Alligator mississippiensis: one gene and its partners. The protein of the gene in region 1 interacts with the protein of each later gene in a biochemical or structural test. Links are inferred from orthologs where the notes say so. Each region holds a gene or a part of one and is shown on either strand. Other genes may lie near its edges.

Evidence for each region.
Region 2: the proteins of ANAPC2 (region 1) and UBE2S form a complex in vitro, tested with the Homo sapiens proteins (3 studies listed by BioGRID and IntAct). The link is inferred for Alligator mississippiensis from reciprocal best matches to the Homo sapiens genes ANAPC2 and UBE2S.
Region 3: the proteins of ANAPC2 (region 1) and PTTG1 form a complex in vitro, tested with the Homo sapiens proteins (2 studies listed by BioGRID, with this or other methods). The link is inferred for Alligator mississippiensis from reciprocal best matches to the Homo sapiens genes ANAPC2 and PTTG1.

What each region holds. Positions count from the first base shown.
Region 1 is NC_081835.1:47,568,183-47,578,184, reverse strand, and holds the start of ANAPC2 (anaphase-promoting complex subunit 2), read left to right. Parts: upstream 1-4,614; 5' UTR 4,615-4,630; coding exon 4,631-4,717; intron 4,718-5,529; coding exon 5,530-6,152; intron 6,153-9,550; coding exon 9,551-9,683; intron 9,684-10,002. Other genes in the region: microtubule nucleation factor SSNA1, read right to left, coding at 533-634, 4,191-4,390, 4,488-4,539. UniProt on the Homo sapiens protein: Together with the RING-H2 protein ANAPC11, constitutes the catalytic component of the anaphase promoting complex/cyclosome (APC/C), a cell cycle-regulated E3 ubiquitin ligase that controls progression through mitosis and the G1 phase of the cell cycle.
Region 2 is NC_081828.1:74,781,085-74,790,348, forward strand, and holds the start of UBE2S (ubiquitin-conjugating enzyme E2 S), read right to left. Parts: upstream 4,523-9,264; 5' UTR 4,360-4,522; coding exon 4,357-4,359; intron 917-4,356; coding exon 769-916; intron 54-768; coding exon 1-53. UniProt on the Homo sapiens protein: Accepts ubiquitin from the E1 complex and catalyzes its covalent attachment to other proteins. Catalyzes 'Lys-11'-linked polyubiquitination.
Region 3 is NC_081832.1:59,019,419-59,029,772, forward strand, and holds the start of PTTG1 (securin), read right to left. Parts: upstream 4,681-10,354; 5' UTR 4,599-4,680; exon of another isoform or gene 4,535-4,598; intron 4,277-4,534; exon of another isoform or gene 4,018-4,276; intron 2,142-4,017; 5' UTR 2,123-2,141; coding exon 2,041-2,122; intron 1,654-2,040; coding exon 1,478-1,653; intron 1,025-1,477; coding exon 928-1,024; intron 1-927. Other genes in the region: pre-mRNA-splicing factor SLU7, read left to right, coding at 5,481-5,644, 6,775-6,928, 8,797-8,877, 9,796-9,960. UniProt on the Homo sapiens protein: Regulatory protein, which plays a central role in chromosome stability, in the p53/TP53 pathway, and DNA repair. Probably acts by blocking the action of key proteins.

The DNA of each region.
Region 1 (10,002 bases):
ACCCAGCCAGGCAGGCACTTCCATGGAGATAAACCACTCCTGTACAAAGAAGTCCTTTCTATCTGCTCTACTGCTCCCTTGGCAGAGTTGACTACAAACAGCACAAGGACCAGGTTTCTGCACCTTGTTTCCTAATGAGTGCTACTGCACTACACTGGCTCCTGGGAGATGAGCTCTTCTCTACATTGGGTAAGCATATAGGCTTCAAACTGCTCTTGCCAAAATGAAGCATCTTTCTCTCAGAAGGGGAAAGCACTAAATTGCTGAGTTTCCTTTCTCCCTCAGGCTGGGCTGTGCACAGCTGCTGCTTGGCATTCTGGCTGAACTCTAATGGCATTTGCTACTGACCTTTGCTAAGTGAAGGTCAAATTTTACTTTTCTTCACCTTGTGCCAAGGCCCTTCTGAAAGGAAAACACACTTGTGCAAAATGAAGATTTTACTGGACATTGTTTCCTCTACATATACCAAAATGATAGCAGCTCCTCTCAGTCCAAGAAGAGAGAGACTTTAGGAATGTGTGAGTCCATGTGCTCAGCTCTCTTTTACAACACTGCCTTTTGGCTCTGTGGCTCTGCTCAGATTCCCCGCTTCCTTCTTTAGGACATTTAGCAGTGTCTGGGAACTTTCCAGGATCTAAGGGGGAAAGAAAAAGAAGTTACTTACCTCCTACACAAACTCTCTCATCACAGGCTGCTCTTAAATTAACCATTCAACTGAGTCCTTTATAGTCAAGAGGAATTTTCTACCACTGCAGTCTTTAAAACTTCTAGGAAGAGCAAGCTAGTGGTTTGATGCTGGAATTGTTAGGGAAGGGTTATTTTGCCTGTGTTTTGGAGGAAGTCAAATGGAATGATTGCAATGGCCATTTATTAATATTCACAGATGTTAAGGCTGGGAGGGACCATTGTGGCTTCCTACCGGAGAACCTCCCCCTGTGACTCCTGCATTAAACCAGCAACAAGGGGATGAACAGGAGGTTTTTTAGAAAGATGCACAAATCCTTGATTTAAGGATGCCAAGTGACAGAATCTGTCACATCCCATGGTCAGCTGCTAAGTACTCTCACTACTAAAAAAAGTGTACCAGGCTTTTGGATTATGTTCCGCCTTGTCTGCTCCAGTGAAGGGCACTCTGCTAAATCTTTTCCCTAGCCAGATATTTTGTCTCAAGTTCTCTCTCACTTTTCTCTTTATTATAAGTTCCTTAGTCTTTTGCAAGCTAGGATTTCCAGAGCTTGGATCATTCTTGTAACTCTCTTCTGATGACTTTCCTGTACGTGGACATTTTTTTCTTGGTACGGAGGAGGCAATACTCAGTAGTTGTCTCACTGATGCTGTACACAAGGGCAATACCATCTCTACCTCAACTCAGCTTTCACAGGAACATATGGCTAAGGCTTGCATTAGATCTGTTAGGCACAGCACTGGGCTAGTACACATTCAGCCAGTTCCCACCGTGGCCAATAGGGCTGTGCAAAGCTTCGGGTGGTGATTTGATTCAGAGGAGATTTGGCCCGATTCAGTGGCCCAATCACTGAATCTGAATTGAATCAGGGGACCAATTAACATTAAAGGTCTGAATCAATTCAAAGCTCTCCAAATCTCCTTGGAAGAGCCCCCCCACGTGGCATAGGGCAGCAGGGATTGCCCCGCCAGCAGGAAGGTGAGTCTGGGGTTTTTCTCATTTTTTTTTTTCTTCTTAAAGGGCCAGAACCACAGCGAGTAGAGCAGCCACAGGGAAGCTGGGGGGCAAAGGGGGGCAGAGGTTTCGTGCAGAGCCCCCCACGGGGCAGTGGGGAGCAGTGGGGATTGCTTCCCCAACTGGCAGCACCTGCTGAGTCGGGGCTTCTTTTTTTTCAAAATGCCGGGAGCTGGGGTGGGCTGGGAGAGCGGACAGGGGATGGGCCTGGGCCATTCAGAGATTTGACAGGAGCCAAATCTCTGAATCGATTTCGGGCAAATCAATTCGGGACAGTGATTCAAATCACCAAATCGAAACACTGTCCCCCGAATTGGCCAAATCCGAAGCGAATGCTGGCCACTTCACACAGGCCTAATGGCCAATAACGAATGCTCTTTCATGGCTTGCCAGTGAGACCTGTTTTTTAATTTCTACATAAATAAACTTGTATCTGGCAGCTGCATGGGTCTTGGACCCCCATGGGATTTTGCAGTTTACTTATCCCTCCTTCCTGCCAGAGTAGCAGTACCTGCTTGACCCACTTTCTGCAGACACTATCCTCTTTGCCCCACAACCCACATATCTGGAAAGGGAAATGTCTCCTTGCCCTGCTACATAGTTTTTCCAAGCTCCATTCGTTACACTCATACACTAAGTACTAAGGGACTAAAGCACAGTTCACACACAAGCCACAACATGATTGTGCCGTGACAACTGCAAGTGCCATGAGCTTTTCACACCCTTCCAGTCTTCCCATAACTCAAACATGGCAACACTGGAGAAACAATGCAAGGCAGCGCTTCTGCCATGACAACGCAACAGCCTTAAGGGTTCCCCTGGGGACAACACAGAGCTTACTCCTCCCAAAGCTCTTTGTCCCTTGTGATCTAGGACAGTGGTTCTCTACCTTTTTTGGACAAGGACCCATTTGTAAACATCAATGGCCAGGCCCAACCCACTGCCCCCCACCCCCAGGCCCCCAGTACGTGGGGCATGGGGGCCCCTAAGTAGCCCCTTGGAAGCTGGAACTCTGCCAGTCTGCAAGGGAAGAGCCTCGGTTTTCCACGTTTTTCTCCTCTAAAAGAGAATCCATTTTTTAAGTTTGTTGATCAATTTTTAAAGTTTGTTCACAACCCTTTTATATAGTCTTGTGACCAACTTTTGGGTCACAACCAACAGAGTGAGAAACACTGATCTAGGACAATCAGCAGCAAATGCTCTCTGAAGCCATAATGCTGCCTTGAGCACAGTGAAGGTCACTATGATCAGTAGTCCTCATCTAAAGAGGGGAAGGCTCAGAGGAGATAAGAGATTAAGAATGGGTAAGCTACTAAGAGTCGTGCCTGGAAGGCCACTGGGAGAGGGGCGAGGCAAACATAGAGAGAAAGACAGACCCCAGCACAAAATCCCACAGCAGTGAAGACAAGTTCAAGTTTCTTCTTCCTCCACTATTTTGATTTCCTTCACAACCCTTATTATTGACCATGATCCATGCTTGTACCCTGGGCTAGACAGAACCATTAATTCCTGGTAACTGTGGGTCTTCAAGAATTGACTCTCTACATTCACAGTTGTGAGACAGCACTCCCTAGGGTGAGCTCACAAGATCCTCCTCTAAGCCCTGTCCATTACAAGATGCCCAAGTACCCTTTAGCTGACTGAGCCATTTGGTGCACAAGGCTAAAGAAGGGATGCACAGCTACACTTGCTGCTGCCAGCTCTTCTTGACAGTGTGCCGAATTATGGCTATCTACAGCGGGGGTGGCCAACCTACGGCACGAGTACTGCAAGTTGCATGGGCATCCTTTGTGCGGCCTGTGCCGGCGGAGGGGTCAGGCAGCACAGCAGTAGATGGAGCAGGGAGCAGATCAGACTGGGATCACAAAGCAGAGAGCTGGCTGAAAGCAGAGGAAGAGACTGGGCACTGGGAGCAAAGGGCAGGGAGCAGAAGGCAGAGCTGCAGATAGGGCAGGGAAAGGGGATCAGTGACACCCAGGGAGGGCACGGGGCTAATCTGCGGCATAAGAAAGGTTGGCCCCGCACTACTCTAGAGCAGCGGCTCTCCAGGCCGGCCTGTCCTACCCTGCGGCCAAGGGGCCGTGCCCGCTTGCCGCCTGCGCCACCCTGAAAGGGCTCCATGCAGGCAGGGAGCCCCTTCCCCGCCCAGCCCCACTCCCGCCCCAGCCCCCCGCACCCACCTCGCAGCCCGGCCCATTTCATTTCAGCCAGTTTCTACCGCAGCTGTGATTTTCCCACGGATGGGGGGGCCCCAAAACTACATGCTGCAGCCCCCCCAGAATATCACGGTGCTTCTCAACCTTTTTTGTACCAGGCCCCATTTGTAAACATCAGTGGCCCGTCCCGACCCGGCGCCCTCTCCCCAGGCCGGGACCCCGGCGTGCGGGGCGGGCTGCAAAGGGAAAGTCCCCAGGTGCCGCTTCTGCAGGAGGAGGCGTGTTTGCAGCCGGCTCAGGGCGGTTTCCCGCGCCCCGCGGGGCCGAGGCGCTACCTTGCCGTAGGCCGCCTCGGTCTCGGCGATGGTGCGCTCGAACTCGTTGCGCGTGGCCATCTTGCGGGCCAGCCCCTCGTTGAGGCGGGCCAGGCGCTCGGTCAGCAGCCGGATGTCGCTCTGCAGCTTGCCCTTCTCCTCCTCCTCGCGCGCGATCTGCCGGCCCAGCTCGTCCCGCCGCGCGCACAGCTCCTCGATGCCTGCGCCACACGGGGGGCACGGCGCTCAGCGCCCGCGGCCCCCGCCACCGCCGCGCCGCGCCCCGGCCCCAGCCCCAGCCCCGCACCCGGCCCTCACACTTGACCAGCTCGTTGTTGTAGCTCTGCAGCGCCGCCCCCTGCTGCGCCATCGCCGCCCCGGCCCCGGCCCCGGCCCCGCGCCACCAACGGCCTCCTGCGCCCGCGCCGCCCCGCCCCGTCCCGCCCCGCTCCGCTCGGCCCATGGCGGCGGCGGCCCCCGGCGCGGGGCTCTCGGCGGGCTGGCACGCGCTGGGCGCCGGCCTCGTGCCGCCCGCCGCGCTGGGGCTGGTGAGTGCGGGCCGGGGGGCGGCGGAGCGCAGCCCCGCTCCTTCCCCGCGCCTGGTCTCGGGGGTTTTGTTTTGAGCCCCGCCGGGCGGCTGTGGGGCGATGCCCCGGCTCCCAGAGAGGGGCGAGCGGGCCCGCAGGCCTCGAGGGGGCGGGGGGGCGCAGTCTCTTGGGGCCTGGGGATGTCTTAGGAAAAGGCCCCTTGCGGCAAGTCACAGCTCCCAGCGTTGACATTTGTCACGGGATTTCCGCGGGGGCGCGAGGGGGGCGCGTAGCAGGTGCGCGCGCGGTCGTCTCCGACGTGGCCGCCGTTCCGGCCTCCTGCTCACGGGTACGTAAGGAGGGTGCCCCACTCCTTGTGCTCTGTAATCGCCCTCGAAGTGCAGCGATGCCGTGGAAGGCCTCGCCCTGACGGCCCTGGCGCAGGACATCCTCGTGTGCTGGCTCAGGCTGGAGAGAGCCTGGCAGTGGCCCGTGACCCGCAGAGGGGATGGAGCGGGGCCCGTTCGGGTCACGGCTCCCATGTCAGCTGGGGATGCAGTCGGCATTAATACCACAACAGCAGTCGCCCTTGTGATGTGAACAGCGACCCATTAGGAGTGGGGCTGAGACCTCCGCCCCTCTGCCCAGGAGGGATGCCGGATGCCAGTTAGTTGGTAGCTTTCAGTCCCTGCTATGCCCTACTGTGGACAAGAGCAAAGGGTCGGCTGGTGAGTGGCTCCATCTGTAGACTGCCCCCTGAGTCCGGTTGTCTCTCCAGCCTCAGTCACCCTTCAGGAGTCCCTGCTTTCGTTTACCTTGGTGTCTCTCTCTAGGCAGCACCCAGGTCTGGACCAGTGGAACCGCTGAAGGACAGCGACTTGCAGGCCGCTTTGGAAGTGCTGCGGAGCTATGACTTGCACTGTGTCATAGAGGAATGGTTCATTCAAGTTTTACAGACAGATCTTCAGACAAATATAGCTCCTGAATTCTGGAACTGCATTGGCCAGTATGAAAACACAGCTGAGGAGCCCCAGTGCTCCTTACTCCTCCTGGATGCTTTTTGTCTGCTCAAGTGCCGCCTAGACCCTTATCTAAACAGTCTAGATCTTCTGGAAAAATGGACCAAAGCAGGCTTGCTCCTTGGAACGGGTTCCCAGATGCTACGAGAGAAAGTGTACACCATGTTTAAAGCCATCCTCTTCTTCTCCACTACAAAGACCTTCCAGGAGATGATCCAGCAGTTCTACAGCCGCACCTTCAGGATATATATGCAGCAGTGGAAGAAAGGAGAAGATGGAATGAATGAGTGTGAGAGCAGTATGAGTGAAAATGATCAAGAGAGTGATACAGAAGAGGGAGGAGGAGACAGCCAGCAGTGTGCAGGCTGCAACAGTAAGAAAGACCAGTGCTGGTGTCCCACAGCCATGGAGCAATTTCAGCAGCTCAGTGAGATCCTGTATGTATCCTGGAGGGAGGGAGGAAAGGGATTTGTTGGACAGAATCAATATACCATTTAGAAAGTAGACTGTCTACAGGCCTGTCATGGGTATGAAAGTCAGAAAGGTCCATCCTAACCTAGTCTGCTTCTTGCAAGGCATTGTCCAGAAAATCTTGCCCAGTGATTTCTGCATCTAGCCCATAACCTGTGGCTGAGCTACAGCAGATCTTTGACAAACAGGAGAGTGGTCCTGGTAACTGCTGTGAGATTATCACCTCCCTTTAGGCTTGTATTCCCTTTGGGGACAATGATTCTAGGCGAAATATTTTCTTTTCCCCAGATGCTAAAGATCTTGAACCTGCTGTTGTGGTTCAGTGGTTGAATCCTTGTCTGCCACATGAGAGACCTGGATTTGATTCTTGGATGCACCTATAACTACAGCTGTCGAGGCACCAAATGTCCATACTGTCTGGCCTTTGGATACTGTCTCAATGGGCTAAAGGGGGAATAGAAGGTCTGGGCACCCCCCCACTTCTCCATACTTGTAGCCAAATGCATTGAAGGTCCTTGTGACCTCTTGCGCATACACTGGGATCCAGAAGGGTCCACGTTTGCCTACTAAAGATCTTGAAGAAGTTGGCCAAATTTCAAGGTACTAAATAGTGCACACATACCCTGCGTGTGTAGTGTGGCCTCGTTAATGCTTCTGTTGGGACCTTAAGGATGATATGTAAGAGGCACTACATAAGGCCTGAACAGGAGTTTAGAAAATATTTGCTTGTTTTTCCATTAGAAAGCAGTTCTTATCTGCAGTGTGTTAGCTAGAGGATATTACAAGCAACTGGAGAGCTCGTGTGAATATAACCAGGGATCCGGGTTTTCCGTTTCCCATGGAAAAACAGAAAAATGCAGTTTCCCCCTTTACCCAAGGAAAACATGGATTTTTCATTTTAATGGAGAAACCCACAGATTTTGCACTTTTGCAAAGAGCTCTCTGCAGGCTGGTAGAGTTCCAGCCTGCAAGGGGCTGGGGGGAGCAGCAGGAGGGTGCTCAGGCAGGGGGTGTCATGTGTATGTATACACACATGGCCACCAGGCAGCCTGGAGAGCTGCTCTGCAGGTAGGTCTGGCAGCAGCAGGGGCAGGGAAGAGCGGAGGGGGATTGAAGCCCCCATAGGGAAGGGGGGAGTTGGGTGGGGGTGAGGCTGGGGCTGAAGCTGTTGCCCAGCCAGGAGGGTGTGTGGGGTGTGTGGCCTGGGGTCAGAACGCGCAGCTTCAGGGCCCTGGCGAGAAGCGGGACAGGGCCTGTGGGCACTTCGTTCAGGGGGTGGGGCCAGCTCCCCACCACTGTGCGCGCTCCTTGCAAGACAGGAGGCTCCCATACCCCCCAGATCTGTGCTCAGGGTAGGGGATTTGGGCAGGGGCGGGCTGCCTGCTGTGGGCTTGGGTTCCCCACCCTGCTGCCCTCCCCTGGGACCTCCACAGCCTGGTGGGTGTGATCCAGCAGGGCAGGGCAGGGCAGAGCAGGGCCTCGTGGGGAAGTTCGTTGCTGCTGAGAGCTCCACACTGCCCTGGCAAGGCATCCCCTGCCCACATGGCAGCAAAGAGGGGTACAACCCTACACCACTGCCCTCGTTGCTGCCATGCAGGCAGGGGGTGCCTTGCCAGGGCAGCCCAGAGCTTGCAGCAGCAGTGAGCTTCCGTGTGTAGCCCCGCTCTTTTTTGCCACACTGGGTCACACCTGCTGGGCTGCGGAGAGCCTGGGGGGGGGCAGTAGGGTGGGGAGCCCAAGCCCGCAGCAGGCAGCCCATCCCTGCGCCATGCACAGATCAGGGGGCACGAGTGAGCGCAGCGATGGGTAGCTGGCCCCACCCAAGCCCACAGCTGGCAGGGGAGGGGGTGTGCTCCGCTTCACTCCGCTGCAGCAGCTGCCACCTCCTGTGGGTGGCAGCTGGGGCTGTGGAGCTGCTGCAAGGGGCAGAGCGCTGCGGACCTGGACCCCTGGCCCTGTAACCCTGCCAGCTGGGGGCCCACTCTGGTATGGCTAGGGGGGCAGGGGGCTGTGGGTGGGGGGTGAGGGACACCAGCAGGGCTGGGGGAGCTGTGCGGAGGAGTGAGGGGCACTGGCAAGGTCCAGCGGGCTGTGGGTGAGCATTGAGGAGCACCAGCAGGGCTGGGGGGGCTGTGGCTTGGGAGTGAGGGACCTGGACCTGTGTTCTGTGAGCTAAGGGGGCAGAGGGAGCTCTGATTTTCCATGATAACCCAAAATCAAATACCAAAATTTATAGGTGTTTAGAACTTATTTAATTATAATGATTGAGGCACAGGTAGGCTTCCAAATTCCTTTAAATGATAAATATTATCAAGAAAGTATTGTGTTCAACTGATACCTCTCTCTCGCTCTCTCTCTCTCTCTCTCTATTAGTGCCCTTTCATTTTAATCATGGAGTTTTAATAAGAAATTTTGCGGGTTTTTTATCAGACAATTTGCAGGTTTTTTTATTGGGGAAAACCAGGATCCCTGGATATAAAACAGCAAGCAAAAGTGGATCCTGAACTCTGGAAAGGTTCAGGGATTCCTATTCTGTTTAAAACCTCTGGCTTTTTATTTTTTATATCAACTTTATACAAGCTCCAGATAGTCCCTTTGCTGAAAATCTAGCCCTCCTCTCTTTACTTGAGGGGTGAGAGCTATCTCTCCAGTTCTCCAATCCATCAGCATGGACTGGAAGCAATGGCTTATGATTTTGTATGTCCTGAAGATTACTCCTAAAGAGTAAACCTGTTTATGCACTTGCTTTGCAGGTGATGTTTGACTCCTAGGTTTTTTTTCCTTCTTGCATAGCTGCAATCTGGGGCCCAATAGTAGCATGTGCTATGAACACGTAACACAAATAGCCGAAATTAAAATGTACCTGGAACTGTTAAACATTTAGCTCTTTACAATATCATATGTTAGAAATAAATGAAATGTTTAAAGCTATGACTCCTTACTTCCTCTGCACTGCTTGAAAAATCTTTGAAAAAGCAGTGTGTTTGTAAGTTTTTGGAAAGGAGTTTCTTTCCTGCCTAGATCTTGCAAAATGCTTATGCTCTTTAATTAGTCCTAGCTGATTAATTATTGATGATATAAATTTGGGTCCAGTTGCCTCATTTTTATTTTTGCTTCCTATTGGATGACAATCCTCCCCAAATAGCCATCCTGCTGACTGAGAAAAACCAATTCTCTTCACAGACTAGAAGCCAGGTGATCCAGCTAGAAATGTACACCATGACGGTTGCCCTGAAGTAGACACACAATTTTACCCTCTTCTAGGTGGGGATCATCTTCCCTTCTTCCCAGGCTCCATTATTAGGCATTTGCTTTGTGCTTTTCTCTGTGTGCTGTAAACGAAGCCCCCTCTCTATATCTGCAGCCACAGGCTGAACCTGTTGGAAAGGGTGAGTTCTGATGCTGTGACAACTATCCTGCACAAGATGATTGAGGAGAGGATGGAGCGGAGATGCAGGGGTGAATACGAGCGCTCTTTTCTGAACGAGTTCCAGGAGGTAAGCCCCACACTGACTAGGGACTGTCACTAAGGCAACATGTGCCCACTTCAGTTGCAAGTTAAAGAGGCTTATTTTCATATCAGCTTATTTGGAAAAGGCCTTGTCTGATCATCCAGGATCCCCAGTGGCTGGTAGAAGAGATAGCGAAAGCTCTGCATTTCTGTTTAAAGCCAGAAAGCACCATTAGATTATCTAACCCAGGGGTAGGCAGCCCCCAGCACATGTGCCAGTGTGGCTTGTGAAGGCATTTTGCTTGGCATGCACATCTTGGGGTGGATGGTAGGGAAGTAGCCAGGGCTGTACTACCACAACAAAG
Region 2 (9,264 bases), on another chromosome or scaffold:
CTTCCCCAGGATCAGCTTCATGCGGAACACACCGCCAGCATATGGGGTCCCCTCTGCCACGAGAAAGGGGAAGGGGTGAGGTCTAGAGCGTTGCACAGCGAATTCGCAGCTCTCTCCCCCACAAACCCCTGGGGGTCTTTACATCCCAGAACCCTGTGGTTCAAGGGCCAGGACTCAGCATCAGGGGTGCTACACCCAAGGACAGGGTTCCCTGGGATGGATGGCAGCAGTGGCACCTCACGTATAAAGGATTCAGGAACAACCCCATGGGTTGGGGGAGGTGAGGGTGTGGATGAAAACAGGCCCCTGCTGTTCCTCATACAGGCTTGACAGGATGAAGGAAATCTCACCCAGCACTAAGAGCTGCCTCTGTGGTGGGGCACATCAGGGGCTGGTTATACAGGGACCCCCCCCTTAGTACAGTGCTACTAGTGAAGAACTGCATCTCCTATTGAAATTAGAGTATCTCGTCTCATGATGCCCTCATCCCTTGTACAGTCTTGCTCCCCCTCCCCCCACAAGGAATCAGGTTGGCAGCAAGGCACCCCACATGACAGCATCCCACACCCCCATGTGCGTATCAGGTCAGGCATAGGGTCAAGCCCAATACAAGCCAGGGCTGGATGCTGCCTGTGGCGTCCTCCTCCCTGGGAAGAGTCCCTCCTGACTCCTCCCTATGGTAAGTAGAGGGGATTCCTAGCCAAGATGAAAGGCAGCCCCTCCCCACAACCTGCAGGCAGTATACCGCTCCTCCCCCTGGAGCCTCACCAGGCCCTTCGATGGTGACCTGGACATCTGTGATGTCCTCCTCATTGGGAAAGACCTTGATGCCCTCAGGTGGGTCTGATGTCAGCGTGGAAACCTCTTTATAGACCAGGCGGATGACATGGGGCGGCAGGTTTTCCACATTTGAGTTCTACAAGGGTGAAAACAAACAGGGGAGGTACATCAGAGACTGTACTCAGTGACCTTGCACTAGGACAACTATAAAACTTATGCCCCTCTCTTGAAGTGTCCCAAGCCATTCTTGGACACCCTTGCCATCCCACATGCCCAAGATGCCCAGCACAGAGTCCCTAAACAGGATGTGTCCATCTCTACACACTTGGCATGCACAGGGCTGCTCATCTGTGGGCATTTACTGGTAAAGGACCATGTTCCCCATGCCCTCCAGCTCCCTGCTATGCCCATGTGTGCTGCCAGTCAGGCCAAGATCCCAGAGTCAGCACCTGCTGTAAGGAGCAGAGATCCATATCACCAACTGCCTGGGAAACCAGGCCAATTGTATAGCAATTGATCAGAGTCCATGCAAGCACAGGGCCAAGCCCCATATCCATCCTGAGAGTGGCAAGTGCCTAAGTACCATGAAGCAAGACTGAAGCTCTTGGCTGTGTGGCCCGGAGGAGGTGGAGGGGTAGAAATCAACTGCAGTAGAATGCTTTCCTAGTTCTAAGTTGTCCAGACACTGGAGCAAGAGCCTGGGGAAGCCTCCCTTCCTGGAGATTTCCAGGTGGAGGATGCACAGGCATCTATTTGGGATCCAGCACCTCTGCAAGGGATTACACCAATCCTCCCTCCCCACCCCACTCCCCACCAGACCTGCTGTTCTTGCAAATCCCAGGTCCCTTGGAGTGTAATTGGTACACATCAGGCTCAATGATTCTGATCACCTTGATCAAAACCACAGCCACCCCTCCCCCACTGCAGATGACACTGGTCAACCCCCAAGCTGGACTGGGACAACACAACGGAGAAAACCAGCAAGATGCCAGACTAACTGCTGCCAAGTCCATGAGATAGTGGCAGCTGAGAACACTGGTGAGTGAGGACAGGAGGACATCCCCCCACCTGCCTGATGCCAAGGCACCCAAGTTATTTCTGGAAGGAAGCTGCAGGTAGCAGTCTCCTGCAAGCTCCCCAGGCTCAGGAAGCCTCAACTGATCTCAGCAAACGGTCTGCCTTACATCTGACACTCCCCTAAAGTCTCAGCTGAAAACTGGGGCCCTGACAAGGCTCCAGATCAGGGAAGGGGAACTCAACAGTGCAGAATGGTTCAGAATGGAGGGGGACGGGGGGTTGAAAATGGGACCAGAGCCCTGCCATCAGGCAGTCTCACTTGGACAGCCCCACACAGCTACAGGCCTGCCCCAGCAACCTAGCTCCCTCACATCTCAGTCATAACTCAGGGAGGGGGTAGAGGAAAAGGACCTATGGCTATGGACCCTAGCAAGCATCAGGTGGAAGAAGCCCCAGTACCCCCCCCATTCTCCCTCCACATCTTCCCTTACCTACCTTGTACCCCCAAATTCCACCCCCTCTTTACAACTAAGCCAGGATTCAGACTCCAAGGACTCCCAAATCCTAATCTGTTGGATCAGGTCTGTGAGAGAAACAGCCCAGCCTGTCCTCTTTGAGGAGGGAGAGTTCAGCTATCCCCCAGCCTCTGAAAAAGCATTTGGGAGAAGAAGGCAAGTCAGAAGCCCCCTTCCCACATCAAACAGGAGATTCCGGCAAAGCCAACAAAGCCTCAGCAGAGAAGTTTCGGCCAGCAGCTGCTGTTCATCCACCACAGGCCTGAGTACTGACACACTCCTGTGGTGACAGCCTGCCAACCTCCCCCCCTCCCCCACAACCTCCCCTTCCAAAACCCCCTTGTTCCCCAACCCAGGTGACCTGTGAAAATGCCAGAAGGCAAGAAAAGACTGCAGTAGAGCTAGGGGCCACTTGGAGCATCAGGAGATCTCTTAAAGAGCTCCGGCTGCACTCCATTCCCTTTTCTCTACCACTAGGCCCATAAGGGGAAGGGCCTGGCCTGGGGCTCAACCACTGGTCCCTTCCCCAACAGGAAGGAGCTGGAAGTCAGCACCATACAGAGGGGATGAATATCTCCCACTTTCCTGCCTTTTTCAACCATAAAAATACACGCACTCTAGGTGCTTGTCCCCACAACAGAGGCCTAAGACCTGGAAGAAATTAGGCCATGATGCTTCAGCTGCAGCTGGCCATTTCCAGATGCCTGAGCTTTAAAGGCCATGTAGATTTTAATAATTCAGGCCTCTTGGAAGCACCTCAAATCTTAAAACCCAGCTTTTGTTTGCAGCTGCATCTAGAAGCAAACATGCCATGAGAGTAAAATATTAATAAAATCAGGCATTACAGGCATGGACCTGGCCACTGAAAGCCCCGCTGCATGCTGATCTGACAGCCTTTCAGACGCTCGCTAACTTGCCATGTGCCCACCAAGAGTGAAAAAAGGAGTTTCATGTACATGTGCCACAAACCAACCTCCTAAAGTTTGCAAGAGCAGTGTAAAAAATCTACTAGCCCAGGCACTGGACTAAGGGGGCCACCTTCTGGGTCTCCGATTCACCTCTGAAAAACTGGACATCTCCAATCATTTTTTTTTTGGAACATCCAAAAGGAAAAAACTGCACCAAAAAAAAGATAATAAAACAGCAACTGTAGGAGCTAGGCAAGGCCTTGGAAGGAAAAACACTTCCCCAGCTACTTGCTAGAGTCTCTCTTGCAGGGGACCTGACCCCCGCCTGGACTCACAGATTACTGCACTACCCACGACCTCATTTTTACAGGGATTTGAGACATTTGAGCAGAATCCCCCACTTAGACTGCAGCAAAGTTGGGCCCAGCAGAGGAAAAAACTGGCCCCTGTGGTTTTTCTAAGCTTCACAAAACAAGAAAAAAAAGAACCAAAACAAGCAGCCAACCCACTCTATAGCCACTTTCAAGCTAGCAGTGGAACAGCAGCTTTTTAAAGGAGGCAGCCATTCTCACAGATGGAAAACAAAAAACCCGAGTCAACTTTCACCTCCAGATAAGGCCTGTTAAAGCTTCCTTAGTTTGTTTAAATGGACTCAACTTTCACCAACACCCCTTTCACCCCCAAAACCATATAAAAGGGCTGGGGTTGCTCTGTTATTGGTAAATAACGATAGCCCAGGACAGCAGATTCCCACGCCCCAAACCAAGCAGCAGACCAAGGGCTGCCAGGAACACCCCGCACCCCCCCCCCCCACACACACACACACAGAGTTACTGTTAGGCCATCCTCTGAGTCTGTATATCGAAGAGGAATCAAACACCCCAAAATGTACATGCTCCTCCCCCACACCCCAACAGCCACCAGGCCTAGCATCACATTACAGCTGCTATGACCACCACCAACACACAGGTCCCTGCTCCATAGGGCCTACCCACCTGCCCACCCCGAGAAGAGGTTAAAGTGAGGCCCCTCTTAACACGGGGGTGCAACCAGCTCCACCCACCCAAGGGCCACCCTGTAACCTGGTGGGTGGGCACTAAGGAGATGTAGAGAGAAAGGGATCGAGAGCCACTCACCATGGTGGTGGGTCTGGCTGGAAGTTGGCAGAGACCGGGGGTCCCTCACCCCCCTAGACTGACAGGCCCCCCCAAAGTGCACAGGGGCAGCCCAGCACCGTACAGAGTCCCCTGTGCACTGGGTGGGGAGAGGCAGGGTCTCCTCCCAGGCCCCCCCCTCCCCACCTGTGCCCACCAAGCCCCCCCAATCCCACTAACGCCCTCCCCCACACTGGGCTGGGCTGCCCCCTGTCCTCCACCTCGTCCGGCCCACCCTCCCCGGACAAGGCCGCCCCTTCTGGCAGCTCTCCAGCCGTCTCCCACCCTCTGCACTGAGGCTGGCGATTGCCCAGCAAAGGACTTTATAGCCTTTGGCCCCGGCCGGCCACGCCCCCTCCGAATCCCGGCCGCCCAATCAAGCCTGGTGGAACGGAGTGGGTCGCCCCCTCCCACCCCCTGTCCCCGAGAGGACGTTGACAACAAACGTCCGCGACGGGCGAAAGCCAATAGAGAGTGAGACGGGGGGCGGAGCCAGCGGGCCGATTGGAGGGATTTGAATACGAACCTCGCGAGGCGGCGGTTGAAGGGGAGGAGGGAGGCGAGAAGAGCGGAAGGGAAGGTGGGGGGAAAGCTGTTTACCCCAACGGTTGCAGGCAGGGGGCGGGGCGGAGGTTTGAAATGCTCGATCGCCAGGTGGGCGAGCCAATAGGAACGGACGAGTCCGGGGGGGGGCTCCCATTGAGGGCCGTTTCCACACAGGGGCGGGGAATAGGCCCTTGGGGGCGGAAAGGGGAGAGGGGGCGGGGAGGTACTTCCTTCACGCATGAGAATGGACAGGCTGGGCAGCCATTCAGGGATGAGGATTCGGAGCGCTCCCCCCCCTCATTGCTGTAGTTGCGGGCTCGGGAACTGGAGTGTCAGTGCAAGGGGGAGGGGAGGCGGGAACCTTAGGGTTAGCCCGGCCCCGCCCCTGGCACTGGTGCCCCGCGGGGTGTGAGCTATGAGCTTTCCTGTCCTCAGGCTGTTCCCTGGGGTGCCCCAGCTGTGGGGGCGAGTTGATTTGGGGGATGTCACCCCTTCCTGTCTGTGCATCCCACGGGGCCAGGCACGAAGGCCTGAGGGGGCAGGGCTGGAGCCCAGGGTCTGGGAAAGATACCCAAAGAGCAGGGCTGAGGATGGGGGGCACCCACACTCACAGCAGGGGAGAGTGAGGTCAGGGTTTACATTGTTTCCTTCCAGCTGTAAGCCCACAGGGTGGGCGTTTTGCTGATTCCTGTGACCTTATAGGGTTGCCAACCCTCCCAGCTTGGCCAGGAGTCTACCAAAATCGGCATAGATTTCCCAGTGACTATTGAAAGCAATCGGGGAAATTGATATTGTTAATGGTTTGAGCAGTACAATTACTGATATCATGTTGGGGAAAAAAAAATGGAATAGCTTCAGAGTTGGCAACCCTATGACCTTAGGGATTGGAGCCTGTGCCCAGGCTATGTGCATCCCAGGTGGGCCAGCTTCAGCCCGTGCTTCCACTCGCACACTATTGTGTCACCAGCCTCAGACATGCCCCACCCCAGATGGGTCTGTATCTCAGTGCCACTGTCAATGAATACGGAGGCCAGTAGCAGGAAACATCAGTTTATTCAAAAAACAGGGTTACAGCAATTCCAGGGACTTGCAGAACAGCCTCTAGTACTTGTTCAGACACGCTGTGTGTCCCTGTCCTGTGGGTCAAGCTTGGTGCCCTTCGCCTGGCCTGCTCTGTGCTCCTCTCCCACACTTGCTTTGTGGTGTGATTTTTTCTGCGTGTCAGTTCGTGTGGATTTACCTGAATTGTTTCTGACACCGGCAAATCTCTGTGCAGTGCAGGGCTGGCAGCGTGAATGTTTTCATAGCAGCACAGAGTACATGGAGGAGCTGAGGGGTCAGTGGCACCCTGTTCCATACAGTCTGGACTTGGGGAGGAAGATTGAGTGCCAGTGTGGCACCACCCCTTGCTGGTTTGTGTGGCAGTACCCCTGGTTGTGTGTGTGTGTGCAGATGCTGATCCAAACTACCCCCTGGTAGTGTGTGTGTGGCACTCCCCCCTACTATTGTGTGTGTGTGTGTGTGTGTGTGTGTGTGTGTGTGTGTGTGTGTGTGTGTGCAGATGCTGGTCCAGACTGGCTAGATTCAGATTATGTACATGTCTATGTGCTTGTTTGTGGAAACTGCCCTATACTGGCTAGATTCTTGGGTTTGTGTGCATGTGCATGAGAGTGTGCGTATGAACACTACCCCATACTGGTAGATTTAAATTGCATGCACGTTCGTGTGTTTGCATTTACACACACGTACTTGTGTGGACACTACCCTACATGAGCCTAATTCAGCCTATGCATGCAAATCCGTTTATGTGCATGCCTGAGTGTTCATATGCGTGCGTTTGTGTAGTGGGGCACTGTCCTCTGCTTGTCTAGCATAGGAATTGTCCTCCTGCCCACAGCTGACCCTGCCTTCCCAATGGCTTCTGGGAGCTGCCTCAGGGGGAGCAGGGCATTTCCAGACTCTGCTTTGCCCTGTCTAGATGAGGCAGGGGGCCACTGAGGGTGGCCATAAGCAGAGCTGTCCCTAGTGGTGTGCGGAGTCCAGGGCATATCAGCCTGTGTGGGGCCGGAGGGTCGGGGTGGTAACTGCCCGCAGTAGCCAGTGGCAGCATCACCAGTGGGGCAGGAAGGGGGATGGCAACCGCCCACAGAAGCCAGCGGCAGCAGAGGGGAGGGAGGTGGCAACCACCTGCAGAAGGCGGCAGGGCCTGTATGGCACTGCGCAGGGCCCCCCAAAACGCACGACCCAGGTTGGTCACCCTGATTTACCACCCCTGCCTTCCCCCCAGGGACGGCCCTAACCATAAGGCACGTGAGCCGATGCAGGAAAGGGGAGGAAATGATAAGTCATCCAACATCAGGGGTGAGGGATGAGAAGGGATCCCCTCAACACTGCCCACTGGGGACACCCTAGTCCCTTTTGCTTAGGCTGCAGGGGCTGCCCACTCATGGAGACCAGGGGCTGGGCAAGATGGGCCTGTGTCTCCATCCTGACCCTTGCTTTTCCACAGGCCCTGAAGGGAAGTCGAAGGTCTAGGCAACTGTGCCCAGCAAGCACCTTTGGAAGATGCAAAAAAGAGCCTGGTCCCCAGTGGGTATGAACAATCCTGATGCCCCAGCTACAGGGAGGAGGTGTTGTGGGACCAGGCAAGGGTTTCAGGAAGCACCAGGTAGGTTAGTAGAGGGTGCTGTGCTGCAGGAAAAGGGACAGGGGACTTATGCCATGGGGTGTGGAATGGGGTGGGAAGGTTGGGTGATACCTTAGAATGGGGAGTGGAACAGGGGGCTCAGCAAAGAGCACCATACTGCAGGGGGGTGTGAGCTCTTTTCTGTCATACCAGGGAAGCATGCAGTGGAGTGCAAGTGTGTATCAGCTAAACCATTTGGTCCCTGGGGCCTTTTACTGCTGGACATGTTTGGAACATTGTTGCTAAGAATTTACCTCCCTGGGATTTAGCAAACTCCTTCCCTAGTGTGGATTTGTCTGAACCCAAGGGCTTGCTCATGAAGAATGGTCTGCATGCTGTGGCCTGGGGTAAGCTCTCATGTGGATCATGCTGGCTCCCTGCCAGGCAGGAAGGCCCTTATGTGCCTTCCTGATTTAGATGCAGCAACTGCACTGGGCTTGTCAAAGGAAGAGAAGGGATAGAGGAAAGCAAAGAGCAGTTGAGTGGTAATTTGCTGTGAATGAACAGCAAGCCATGAACAGGTAGGTGCTACTGACTGGTGAACAGGAGCTAGTGACTGGTCTATGGGGGTGAGTGACTTGTGAACAAGCCATATACACTGACTGGTGAAAGGGTGTTAATAACTTGTAAATGACAAGACACCAGGGGTAACTTAAATAATGTGCTATAGAGTGCAAACATCAGCAAACAATGAGCAGTGAATAGTGAATCACATGCAATGAATGGGGAATGAGGAACAAAAGTCCCTAAAGGGCAGACAATGGCAAAGTCACAAGAAGACCTGACAGGCTCCTGAGACCACAGCCCATGGCCATCAGTGATTGTTGGAGAGTGAAAATTATCACCCAGGAATGGCATCCAACAGCCTGTCCAGCAAAGCAAATGGAGTCTCAGGCCAAACCTAATACCACTGCAATCTTGGATAGACAACTGAAACAGCCAAGAGTGATGAAGCCATGGTGGGCAGTTATAAAGACCACTAGGCATGTCTACACGTTTATTAATGCGCCGTAGTTACAGCACATTAAGTTTAGTACTTGGTTAACCCCAAGTACTAAATCAATGCTCAGTAACTTGCACTACTGCACGGTAGTGCTGGTGCACCAGTTTTTAGTGATGCTTACTGTGCAGTAGCCTACTACTACTGTGCAGTAGCATATTAGCGCAGTTTCTGCCTGGAAGGCTACTGCACAGTGTTATTAGGCTACAGCACAGTTAGCGTCTTGTATAGATACACCCAGTGAGTCAAGTAAGGAAAGGGTGGGGACTAGGAGTAGGGAACAGGGAATTGTAGTGACCACAGGATAGAAATATGATAGGAAAGAACAGTGGGTAGTGAATGATGCTTTAGGTTTGGTGAGTGGAATAAACTGTAATAGGTAAAAATGAGTGGAAGTTGCCACCTAATTAATGGTGGATGGTGACTGGAGATTCCTAATTGGTTCCTGATGAGTAGAAAGTGACAAACAATTACCAGTAATGGTAAGTACAGAATAATGAATTGTGATGTGTGAATAAATAGGATTGGATTACAAAGAGTGATTGGGTCATTCATTATACTGAGTAGTAATAGAGACTGTATAGATTATAGAAATTCCTTTTAAGAAGTGACAGATAATTATTAGTGAGTAGTGAATACTGAGCAGTGGTTGGTTCAT
Region 3 (10,354 bases), on another chromosome or scaffold:
TGTGGGTTGGTCTGGCCTAACCTAGTGGCACTCTGGCACAGGAGAGCCACCTCCATGGCACCTTGTTGTTGTTTACAGGTTCACAGCTGCCTGCCACATCCAGCCTGGGCTCCAGGCAGCTGCTGCCCGACAGAACCAAAGCTGCTCACAGCAGAGCTTGCAGCTTCCCTGCCACCTACTGCAAACAGCCTAGGCTTCATTGCTGGCAACACTGCTCAGAGCCCAGGCTAGATGTGGCAAGCTGAGCAAAACAGCCTCATGTGGTATGCTGTGGCACATGTACTAAGAGTTGCCAACCCCTGTTCTAGTAGCTTTGATATAGCCATGATGGCAGTAAGTGACCCCAAACACCATTTTGAAAGTGTGTTTGTTTCATGAACTCACTAACATATCTTCAAGAGAGGGACAAGGAAAGAGATCTTACCATACCACTGGTATCTGAGGTATGGGGTTTCCAAGGCTGGGAGGCACAGTTGCATGCCAGGTATGACGCAGTACATTGTCCCAGTACCAGCTTGTAGTCCCAGACTGAGCATATTGGGTCTAACCCCCACAACAATTAAGACTGACACTGCTGGGGCCAAGTCTCAACCTTCCCCTCAGCCCACCCCTCCCAGACCCATGGGGAGGCTTTCCCCTCACATACTGTGCACCTTTATCTTCCCCAGCTAGGTTTTTGTTTGGTTTTGGGGGGGAGGGGGATAGAGAGAGGTGTGGGTTATGTGAGAAAATAACGTATTTAAGTGAAAGCTGCAGTGTCCATCATCTACCTGGTCATAGGGTATCCAGGTCACTGCCCTTAGAGAGATTGGACATAATTTGAAGGCTTGGATTTTGAGGCTAACCTTGTTTTACTTTAAAGTCAAGGCATATACTTTAGGCAATTTAAGATTAATGACAGATAGCTTAGTGTTACTGAGTTCCTACCTAGAGGGTTGTAGGTAAACAAGTTTTCAATTTCTGGGTAGGTTTCTTCAGGTACTGCATTGCAACTTCCCACTTCAGTGGTCTTTTCAGTAGTACTCTGTAAATAAATAAATAAAAATAAAATATATATTAGTTGAAGGGATACTAGCTAGGTTCTTAAGTAATGACTTTAAAAGGCAAACTGGACAAGGGGTTTGTGCTCATGCACACAGCTATGGAACTCCAATATATATCAAAAGGCAAGGGCAGTGGTCAATTTGGTTGCTAGTTTGCTGTAAGATTATGTTCAGTAATATGACCCCAGTAATATATGTGGAGTCATAGGACAAGACAACCTCATTTTACATAGGTCAGAAATATCATGTGGATCATGATCTCAGACTTCTTGGGTCACTCTTCCCAACCTGGCTGCCAGCAAGGATGTTGTCCCCTGCATCTACATGGGGGGGGCAGCAATATCTAAACATGTTTCTCTCTTGTCCTAATCCCTTGGACCAGAGACTTAAGCATACTTAAGGATCTACTTCCTGCTAAGGACTCATGCACTTACCTTAGTCACAAGCTGCTTTTGTGTTTTTAAAGTTTCCTTCTTTTTTGTGGATTGCAGAGTCCTGTTCACATCTCCTAGAGCCTTTCTGAGAGACTTAGATGCGACTGGAGTTGCATTAATTGTTTTTCTAACATGGGGAGTCTGCACCTGTGACCTTTCAGACAGAACTTTTCCTGCTGCAGAGAAAAGTTTTAAGATTCTTTACATGCTTCGCAAATACCACTATGAGCCATTTCAGTACTTTCTGCCTAGGAAGGAGGAACTAGTTACAGTTAAAAAAGACTTCTACATAGGGATAAAGTTTTAACCTTGGAGAATTATTTCCTTGTCACTCCACTCCCACAAATAGAGTAAGGCTGCCTGTAAAAAGATAAAGCCCCCTGGAAGCCTTTGAAGGAGAAAAGGGTCTCAGAAGAACAATGAAAACAGGTTCCAACAAGAGTCTACATGTTTGCTTATATTACTCAGAATTCCCACACCTCCCATGCCAGAAATAGCAAGCCAGGCACATTCCTGGTTTATTTTAAAATGTTCAATTTTTAAAGGCAAAAGTGCACACTCACAAGTTGAAGGCAATCTTAGTCGATCCTTAGAAGTAGCACCAGCTTCTCCATTCTCCTGGTCTATGAATATAAGGGTTGCCATGTTCAGATCATGGAAACAACTTAAAAATAAGAGAAAGCTACATGAGAATATAATAATACCTCCTCCCAGTTCAAGAAATGCAACAATTGAGACCTGCATGATGAAAGTGCTAATATAGAAGTACATTGGAAGATACTCTCATGACAAAAAAAAAAAAAAAAAAAGAAAATTGCATCTACACAGTTATACCATCTTTCTGGAAAGTTGACTTGGGTCTTCTTACCTCCATATTGTTTAAGAGTACTACTCAAAAAGGTTTATATATAAATACATTGCAACTTGATGGCACCTGCCCTGAGCATGGCCCAACATAGGCCCTGCCAGGAACAGCCCAACAGCAGCATCCTGTCCCACATTGCGCAGCTCCAGGGACACACCCCCATGCCCTCCCAAGGTGCACGCAGTAGCAGGAGCTGCCACACCCTCCCCCTGGGGAAGCTGCAGCTCCATCCCATGCTTCACCCCAGGTCCCACCACTATGTGCACCCCTGGGAGGGCACGTGTCCCCAGATCTGCACATGGGGTGGGACTGGCACCAGGCTGTGCTGGGGGTGGGTGGTGGCAGCAGCAGCAGAAGGGGGCTATGGCAAGTTTTGGGGTGGCTGCAGCCCCTCCCAGCACTGCCACCACCTGACCAGAACAGTCTAGCCCAGCCCCTGCCAAGAACAGCCCAGCACAACCCTGACCCCAGCCCGTAGCAGCATCCCACCCTACCTACACAGATCCAGGGGCACATGTCCCCCTGCCCCATGCACTCTTGGGGTGCATGCAGAGATGGGAGCTGCTCCCATGTAGCTCAGTCTAGCATCCCACCCCAGCTCCTCTCCCACCCCCACCACTGGGGCCTCGATCTGCCCCTTCTCCCAGCCCATTCCCTCACAACATATTTACCAGCCAGAACTGGCTGTTCTCTTGGCCACCTATGTGCTGTGCTGCAGCTCTGTGTGTGCACGTGGCATTTTTCAGTCACACTAGGTCTAGAATATTTTAAGTACTCCTAGGGGTGTGCATAACCCCAGCTGACAGCCACTGAGCTAGGCTGCTTAGTTACACGCACTGAACTGCTAAAGTCCCTTCTGCTTTCAGTTAGGAAGTCACAAGCAATTGACTCAATTTTAGTAGAGATGCACCAATACATTGGTCCAATATTGGATTGGTACCAACATGAAGAAAATTGTCTACTGGATATCAGCCTTATGGGGCTGATATATGCCCATGCTGCATGCAGCCACAGCACGGAGCAGAGCTGGCAGTGTGGAGAGCTGCCTCCAGCTGCCAAGTCAGAAAGGGAAGTGGGAAGGAAGGGGTGTTGGGGGTGGGGGGGCCCACACAGATCAATGCCCCCTTCAGCAAGGGAGGGGGCAGGTGTGGCCCAGCCAGGGCAGGGAAGGGGACATGGGACAGAGGCACAGCTCAGAGGTGGGGGCAGCTCCTGCCATGGCTCTGCTCCCAGTCCTGGGCTGCCACCCAGCCCAACCATGGCTTTTCCCAGCACTTGGGTGGAACTGAGGCATTCAGCCAGGGCTCTGCCAGGTGGTGGCACAGGGCTGGGAGCAGAGCCACAGCAAAGTTTGGGGTGACTTCAGCTTCTTCCCAGCACTGCCGGAGCCTGCTCCAAGCCCAGGGCCCTACTGAGAAGAGTCCCATGCAGTGCCAGCTGCCACCTGCCCCATACCAGCTGCCATCTATACCACAGCAGTGGCCTGCCCCATACTGTGCAGATCTAGGGGCACACCCCTCAAGAAGTGCAAGCAGCAGCAGGAGCCACCCCCACCCCACAAGCCGTGGCTTCATCCTGCACCTCCCCCACCCCTGCCCCCACCTGCTTCCTCCCTCATCAAAGGGCTCTGATCTGCCCCTTGCACGCTCCTCTCCTTCCACCACACTGGACTTACCACCTGGAGACAGCTGTATCAGAAATCAGACTGGTATCAACCACTATACCCCCTTAAATTTCAGCCCCCAAAAACTCTATCAATGCACCCCTAAACTTTAGCAGTCCGATTTAGTCAGCAGTGAACCTCTCGCCTGGCAGCACACTAGGGCTGGGGGTCTCGGCTGTGGAAAGGTTGACAAAGCTTCCAGCCTCGCGCTGGAGCAGTGCAGGCTGCCACCCGCCTTAGGGGCTTCTGCCTGACCGCTGAGCTACCCGCTTCCCTCCCCGCCGGCACTGCAGCTCTCTCGAGTGTCGCCCCGGGACAGGCGCCGCGCTCCCAGCCCGCGGAGCCTGAGGCATGACCGGGCGTCGTGCCCTGCACTGGGGCAGCGCGTCCGCCCGAGCTTGGGCGCGGCCCCGCGGGCGACCCGACCCGACCCGACCCGACCCGACCCGACCCGACCCGACCCGACCCGACCCGACCCCAGGGCAATGCAGCGGCGGTTGAAGCCCACCCAAGATCACAAACAACCTACCCCACACACTCACTAATCTCTACACAATACAATCAGCGGGAACGCTTTTAAACATCAACCTTGCCTCCCATTGGCTGCTTCGCTCGGGCCCCAACGCTCGGACTCCCGATTGGCTGCCAGGCCGCTCCGCCAGGGGAGGGGCGTGTCGCCGCCAGCACGAAAGCGGCCATCAACCGGAAGTTGTGTGTGCGCATGCGCAGTTACGCCACCCCGCTGGGTCCTGCCGCCGACACCTCGTCAGAGACATCGGCCTGCCCCGAGTGCTGCGGGAGGAGGCTGAGGCTCCATCCCTTCGCAGGGGTCGTACGCCTTTAAAAGGCGGAGCTAGAGCCGTCGCGCGGTGCACGGTGGGAGAGGCCGAGTCCTAGTTGGGTAAACACGGCCCGGCAGGTAGGTTGCGTCGCTGCGTTGCGTGACTCGTCCCAGCCCTGGGGCCCCGGTCACGCCAGTGCCGGCCCCGCTCTCCCCCGCGCCGTAGTCCCCTCCGCTCCCCCCCCCCCCCGACCTACCGCCTCGGCGCTGTCTGTACGCGTCAGAAGGAAAAGTCCCGGGAGTTGATCTCTCCATCAGGAGATCACGAGTCCGAGTTCATTTCATTTGGAAATCGTGATTTTTTTTTTCTCATGGGAGTTGGCATTTGTGGAATCGTGCCCCCATGGAGGAGTGGGGCAGGCCGGGCCCCAAGAAATCCCCAAAATGGGGCCAGGCCTCACTACAGAGGGAGCCTCTCCCCCCAGTCCAGACCAGCCAGGCCATGGGGTAAAATTCTCTCTTGGGAATTGTAACTAGGAAGCTGGAAGGCGCTAAGCGCGGTGAATAAAGGTAAATGATAAAGGTAAAGGGCAGTGATGTAAAACAACGGGTTGAAATGGATTTTGTTCAGTTTTCATAATGCCGGAAATTGTCCTTTTCAGTACGTCTGTACGTGTTCGCAAGGGAAAAGACCATGGCATCTGGGGCTGTAATAGCCTCTACTCCTCCGGGAGGTTCGAATGATGTGGGCTTGGAAGAGCCAAAGAAGATGACAAGAGAGGACTGGAGGAAGAAGAAGGAGCTAGAAGAACAGAGAAAGCTGGGTAATGCACCAGCCGAAGTAGACGAGGAAGGAAAGTAAGTTTTACTTAAGGCTTCAATGTTACCGATGGGATGTAATTGTAATATTTCTGCTAGGGATGTTAAAAGGTAAATAATTAACTGGTAAGCCCGGTGACAACTGGTTAGCTTACTGGTTGTTTAGTGCGCCCATCTGGCAGGGAAAGGGAGGCGAGGAAGCCACGCAGTGACCCAGCAGGACCTGGAAGGCTGCAGGGGAGGGAGGAGGAGGGGAAGGTGTGAGGCGGAGAGTAGTACCCTAGCCTAGGAGGTTAAAAAGGAAAACAGCAGGCAGCTTAATGACTTATCAACTAAGCAGTGAGCTGCTCATTCACAGGTGCTGTTCCCTCCCTCCCAACCTAGGAGCTTCATTTGGGCTGTGTTATCTGGCTGGGCTTGCCACTGCATTACCCACCCAAAAGGCCCCAGGAGTGGCTCCCAGCAGCAGCTCTGTTATTGGTTAACTGTTTAACCATTATAATTAGAAGAGGTTAAAAAGATAATTTTTAAAACAATATTTACATTTCTACTCCCTGCTGATAGCCAAAGAAAATCTCAAGAAACATGCAAAATTACACTAACAGTGGCTTAGTGTAACTTATCAACTTTGTGAGTTATTCTTTAAGACCCAAATCCTCTTCCTCTTCAGCAAGGGTAGAGACTCCTTTTACACAGAATTAACATTTATTTGGTATATGGCAAGTGGAGATGCCAGTAATAAATGGAGCCATGTGGCATTTTAGTGGTGGATGGGGGGTCGGATAGAAGATTTGTTATAATGTAGATTGTTCTTTCACTTTCCTCTACTTCCATCTCCTTCACCAGATGGAGATGCTCAGTTTTTTCACTGCTGAAGGGGGGGAGTATAACTCTTTCCCTAAGATCCTATGTTGTTCATAATACCAAGTCAAGTTACTCGGTTGGAGGCTGGATTTCAGCCCAAGTAAATGGATCGAAGTAAAGAGAATTATGGTTTGTTTAATTTGGTAAGTATAGACCAGTTCAGTGTATTGAGAAGACCAATATCTACACCACCTGTTACAAAAATATTTATACTAAATACAAAAAATGCTCTTTTAAAAAAAAGATTCCTGTTCATGTTTATATTATTTGTACGTCTAAACATTTTCTTTTAAAATCTTTCTCAGAGATATCAATCCTCATATTCCTCAGTACATCTCCTCAGTGCCATGGTACATAGATCCTTCAAAACGACCTACGCTAAAGCACCAGAGACCTCAGCCAGAGAAGCAGAAGCAGTTTAGCACATCTGGAGACTGGTATAAACGAGGGGTTCAAGAGGTAAGTAAAAACCTTTTTGGTGTGTAGCAAAGGTGAGGCTTGTGGAACGCCTGTGACCAAGGGCAGAATGTGTTCTTGACAGAATTGTGGTGGTTTCTTTTAAGCCATGTTTCACCGTAGCCAGTCACTCTTCGGGTAACTTTAGTATTGGGTAAAGTTTGCTTCACTAACTATTGCACCAGCTAGGTTTCAGCTCAACCTCTGGGTCTCTCTCTAGACCAGGAGTGTCCAACCTTTTTGAATGTGGGTCCGGATCATGAACTTTTTATCACCCAGTGGGCCGGCAAGCCATATTCAAAGACATCACAGGAAGTGGTATCATATCAGGAAGTGATGTCACATGACCTTTGACACCAGTGAAGTTGCAGGGGTTGACCTGGTGCTGCAGGAGCTGCTTGGCTACAACCGGGTTGACCTGGTGCTGCAGGAGCCACGAGGCCAGGCTGGGGTTGACTTGGGGCCTGCCCAGCCTGCCAGTGCTATGCCTGGGTTGACATGGTGCTGCAGGACCCGCCTGGGCAGAACCGGGTCAGCACCAGCCAGGAAAAGCAGCATGCAGCTGAAGCCGGCTTCCCATGTGCTGCTGGGGACGGGAGGGGGCTGGCCAGGTCCGCACCGGCCAGCAGAAGCGGCGCCAGAGCCGTGTGCCGCTCGGGACTGACCGGTGTAGGCCTGTCCGATCCCGAGTGGCACACGGCTCTGCCGCCGCTTCTGGCCAGTGCAGACCCAGCCGGGCTCCTCCCGTCCCCAGCAGCACATGAGAAGCGACCCCCTCGGGGCCTCGCGCACGGGCAGCCGGGCCCGGAGAGCCACAGTGCCCAGGGGGAGACTGGCTGGGGGAGCAGGCACCGCCTTGCTGTATGGCAGGGCAGCGGGGCTGGCTTGAAGTGGGCGGGTGAGGAGGCAAGCGCAGGCTGGCAGTGTCAGCGGCCGCTGCTTAGCTTCCCACGTGGGGCAGTCTGCTCCCCTCCCCTCGCTGCTAGCTGGGGCCCGTGGGCCAGCCCTGCCTGCCTCACCATGGCTCTGCTACTGCGGCTCTGCACTCCACAGCGGCATGGCCGCCACCGCCTTGGACCAAATAAAATGGCTTGGTGGGTTTAATGGCGGCCTGTGGGCTGCATGTTGGACAAGCCTGCTCTAGACAGTCAGTATAGCTTAGCATTTATTGCCATTTGATCCTCTGTCTCGCTACAAAAACCTGTCAAGGATGTAAGTTTTTGGTGGTATAGCTGTCTTCCTTCTAGGAACTTAAATGAAACCATTAGCCTTTTTATTGGTAATTACTTTAAATAACTACAAAACAATGTGGATTCAGTTTGTATTCTGAAGAAAATTTTGGGAACTTACTCTGACATCATTGGATTCAATGGAATTTTGTCTGTCACTTCTAGTGCAGAGGTTCCTAAATATTTTCTTATTACATACCCCCCTTCCAGATTTACCAGCTGCCTACATACCCCTGGCAGTATACATTTTATATTTTAAGCCCTTAAATATTAATTATTATTATAATGAAAATTAAATCCACCACTACTTAATGTCTTCTGTATACCTCCCAGATGTGTCTTGCGTACCTCCAGGGGTATGCATACCACAGTTTGGGAACCTATGTTCTATTGCATCTTTCTTTATGGTTTCTCTACATTCATGATTAAGTAGGGAAGAAGGAGGAAAACTTCTACAAAATAGTTTGTGGTATTTGGAAATTGCTGTAAATGCTTTAGCTCATCTTGTATATACAGGTGTATGTACTTGTGCTTCATTTACTTAATTAGGCTTGTTTTCTTGATTAGGCAAAGCTAAGTACTGGCATCGTGGGTCAGTCATGCTACTTTACATTCACATAATGTTTGCTTTTTCATGTTTAGAATGCTTTAGCAACAAGATATCGCAAAGGGGCCTGTGAGAACTGTGGTGCAATGACACACAACAAGAAAGACTGCCTAGAGGTAACTTGGTGTCTGAGTTTTTCTGGAAAGCATTCCTCTCAGTTCTGTTATGATGGAAAATATCTACTGAAAGGGTATCGATTTAGATTTGTCAAACTAAAACTTAAGTTTTAACTAAAATTAAACTGATGCTTTACTTTCACTCGAATTTGTGAAATTCAGCTCTTCAACATGCTGTTTGAAGACCATTAAAAGACTAACAGACATTTCAATGTGTGGTATATCTGAGGACATTTGTAGCTCAAGCCTTGTGTGTGAAAACAGATACAGATAAGAAAATGATCACTTTACTCAAACAACTCTCATCTGCCACCTCTATGTCATTTGTTTAGTTCTTTTTGGTAACTTTTTTAATTTTAGTTCATGTTCTGCTGTATTGCTTTTTTTTTAGCTCTGGTTCTATTAAAATCAATAATAATATTTTAAAACTACTCATTAATATCCATTCATGTGACATCAGCTTGAAATCTTATTTGTTGGAGTATGTGCAGATGCGAAGACTTTAAGAGGAGGCTTGATTGTTACCTAGCTGGGGTCATATGAGCCCAGTATTCTCTCCTGCCCACAGCATGGGGTCGGACTTGAAGTTCTACTTAGGTCCCTTCCAACCCTACAACTATGAATCTGTGTTGTGTTGTTTTGTTTTGGGGTTTGTTTGGGGTTTTTTTTGGGGGGGGGCAGGGGGCTTTAAGTAAAAAGTACCTTGCATCTGAGTCTCCTTCCCAGTTTTGTAGACTACAATCCCATTTCCCTTTTTTGAGTTTTTTTTTGCTCTTTCTTTAGCCCTCCATTGTCAGTATGCTATAATACTGTGAGGTAGCAGTGAAAGGATTACAGGAAATTAGACACAATCTAATTTACTAAACTTTCATCTTACAAAACCATCAGCGTGCAAAGGTGTTGCTTATTTCCCTTCAGAGACCCAGGAAAGTAGGAGCAAAATACACAAGCATGAACATTGCTCCAGATGAACATATACAGCCTCAACTGATGTTTGATTATGATGGGAAGAGAGATCGTTGGAATGGTTATAACCCAGAAGAGCATATGAAGATTGTAGAAGAATATTCTAAAGTTGACTTGGTATGCAGAAATTTTATTTGGACGGGGTGGTTGTTTTTAAGCCCCAAACAGCCCTTTTGACTAAACCTTCTGAACTCTGTAGCACTACTGCATGATGTAGAATATGTGTATATCTGGTGGTTCCACAAATTTCTCCTGCTGAAGTGAAAACTCAAAACAGGGAATTGTGTTCTAGTTCACTCTGTAAATGAGCCTCAGATCAGAGTTGTTTACAAGTACTTCTGAGTATCATTTTGAAAGTAGTTAAAATGGAGATGGACTGTGGGTGACAGAAGTTTGATTTTAGTGGAGAAGCTACTTAGTCTTGTAATTACTGTTTTTGAAGAGGTGGCCTTTCTTAACTGTGTATATGCATGTGCCATACAGAAGCATGAAGTAGATTTGGTAGTCTCAT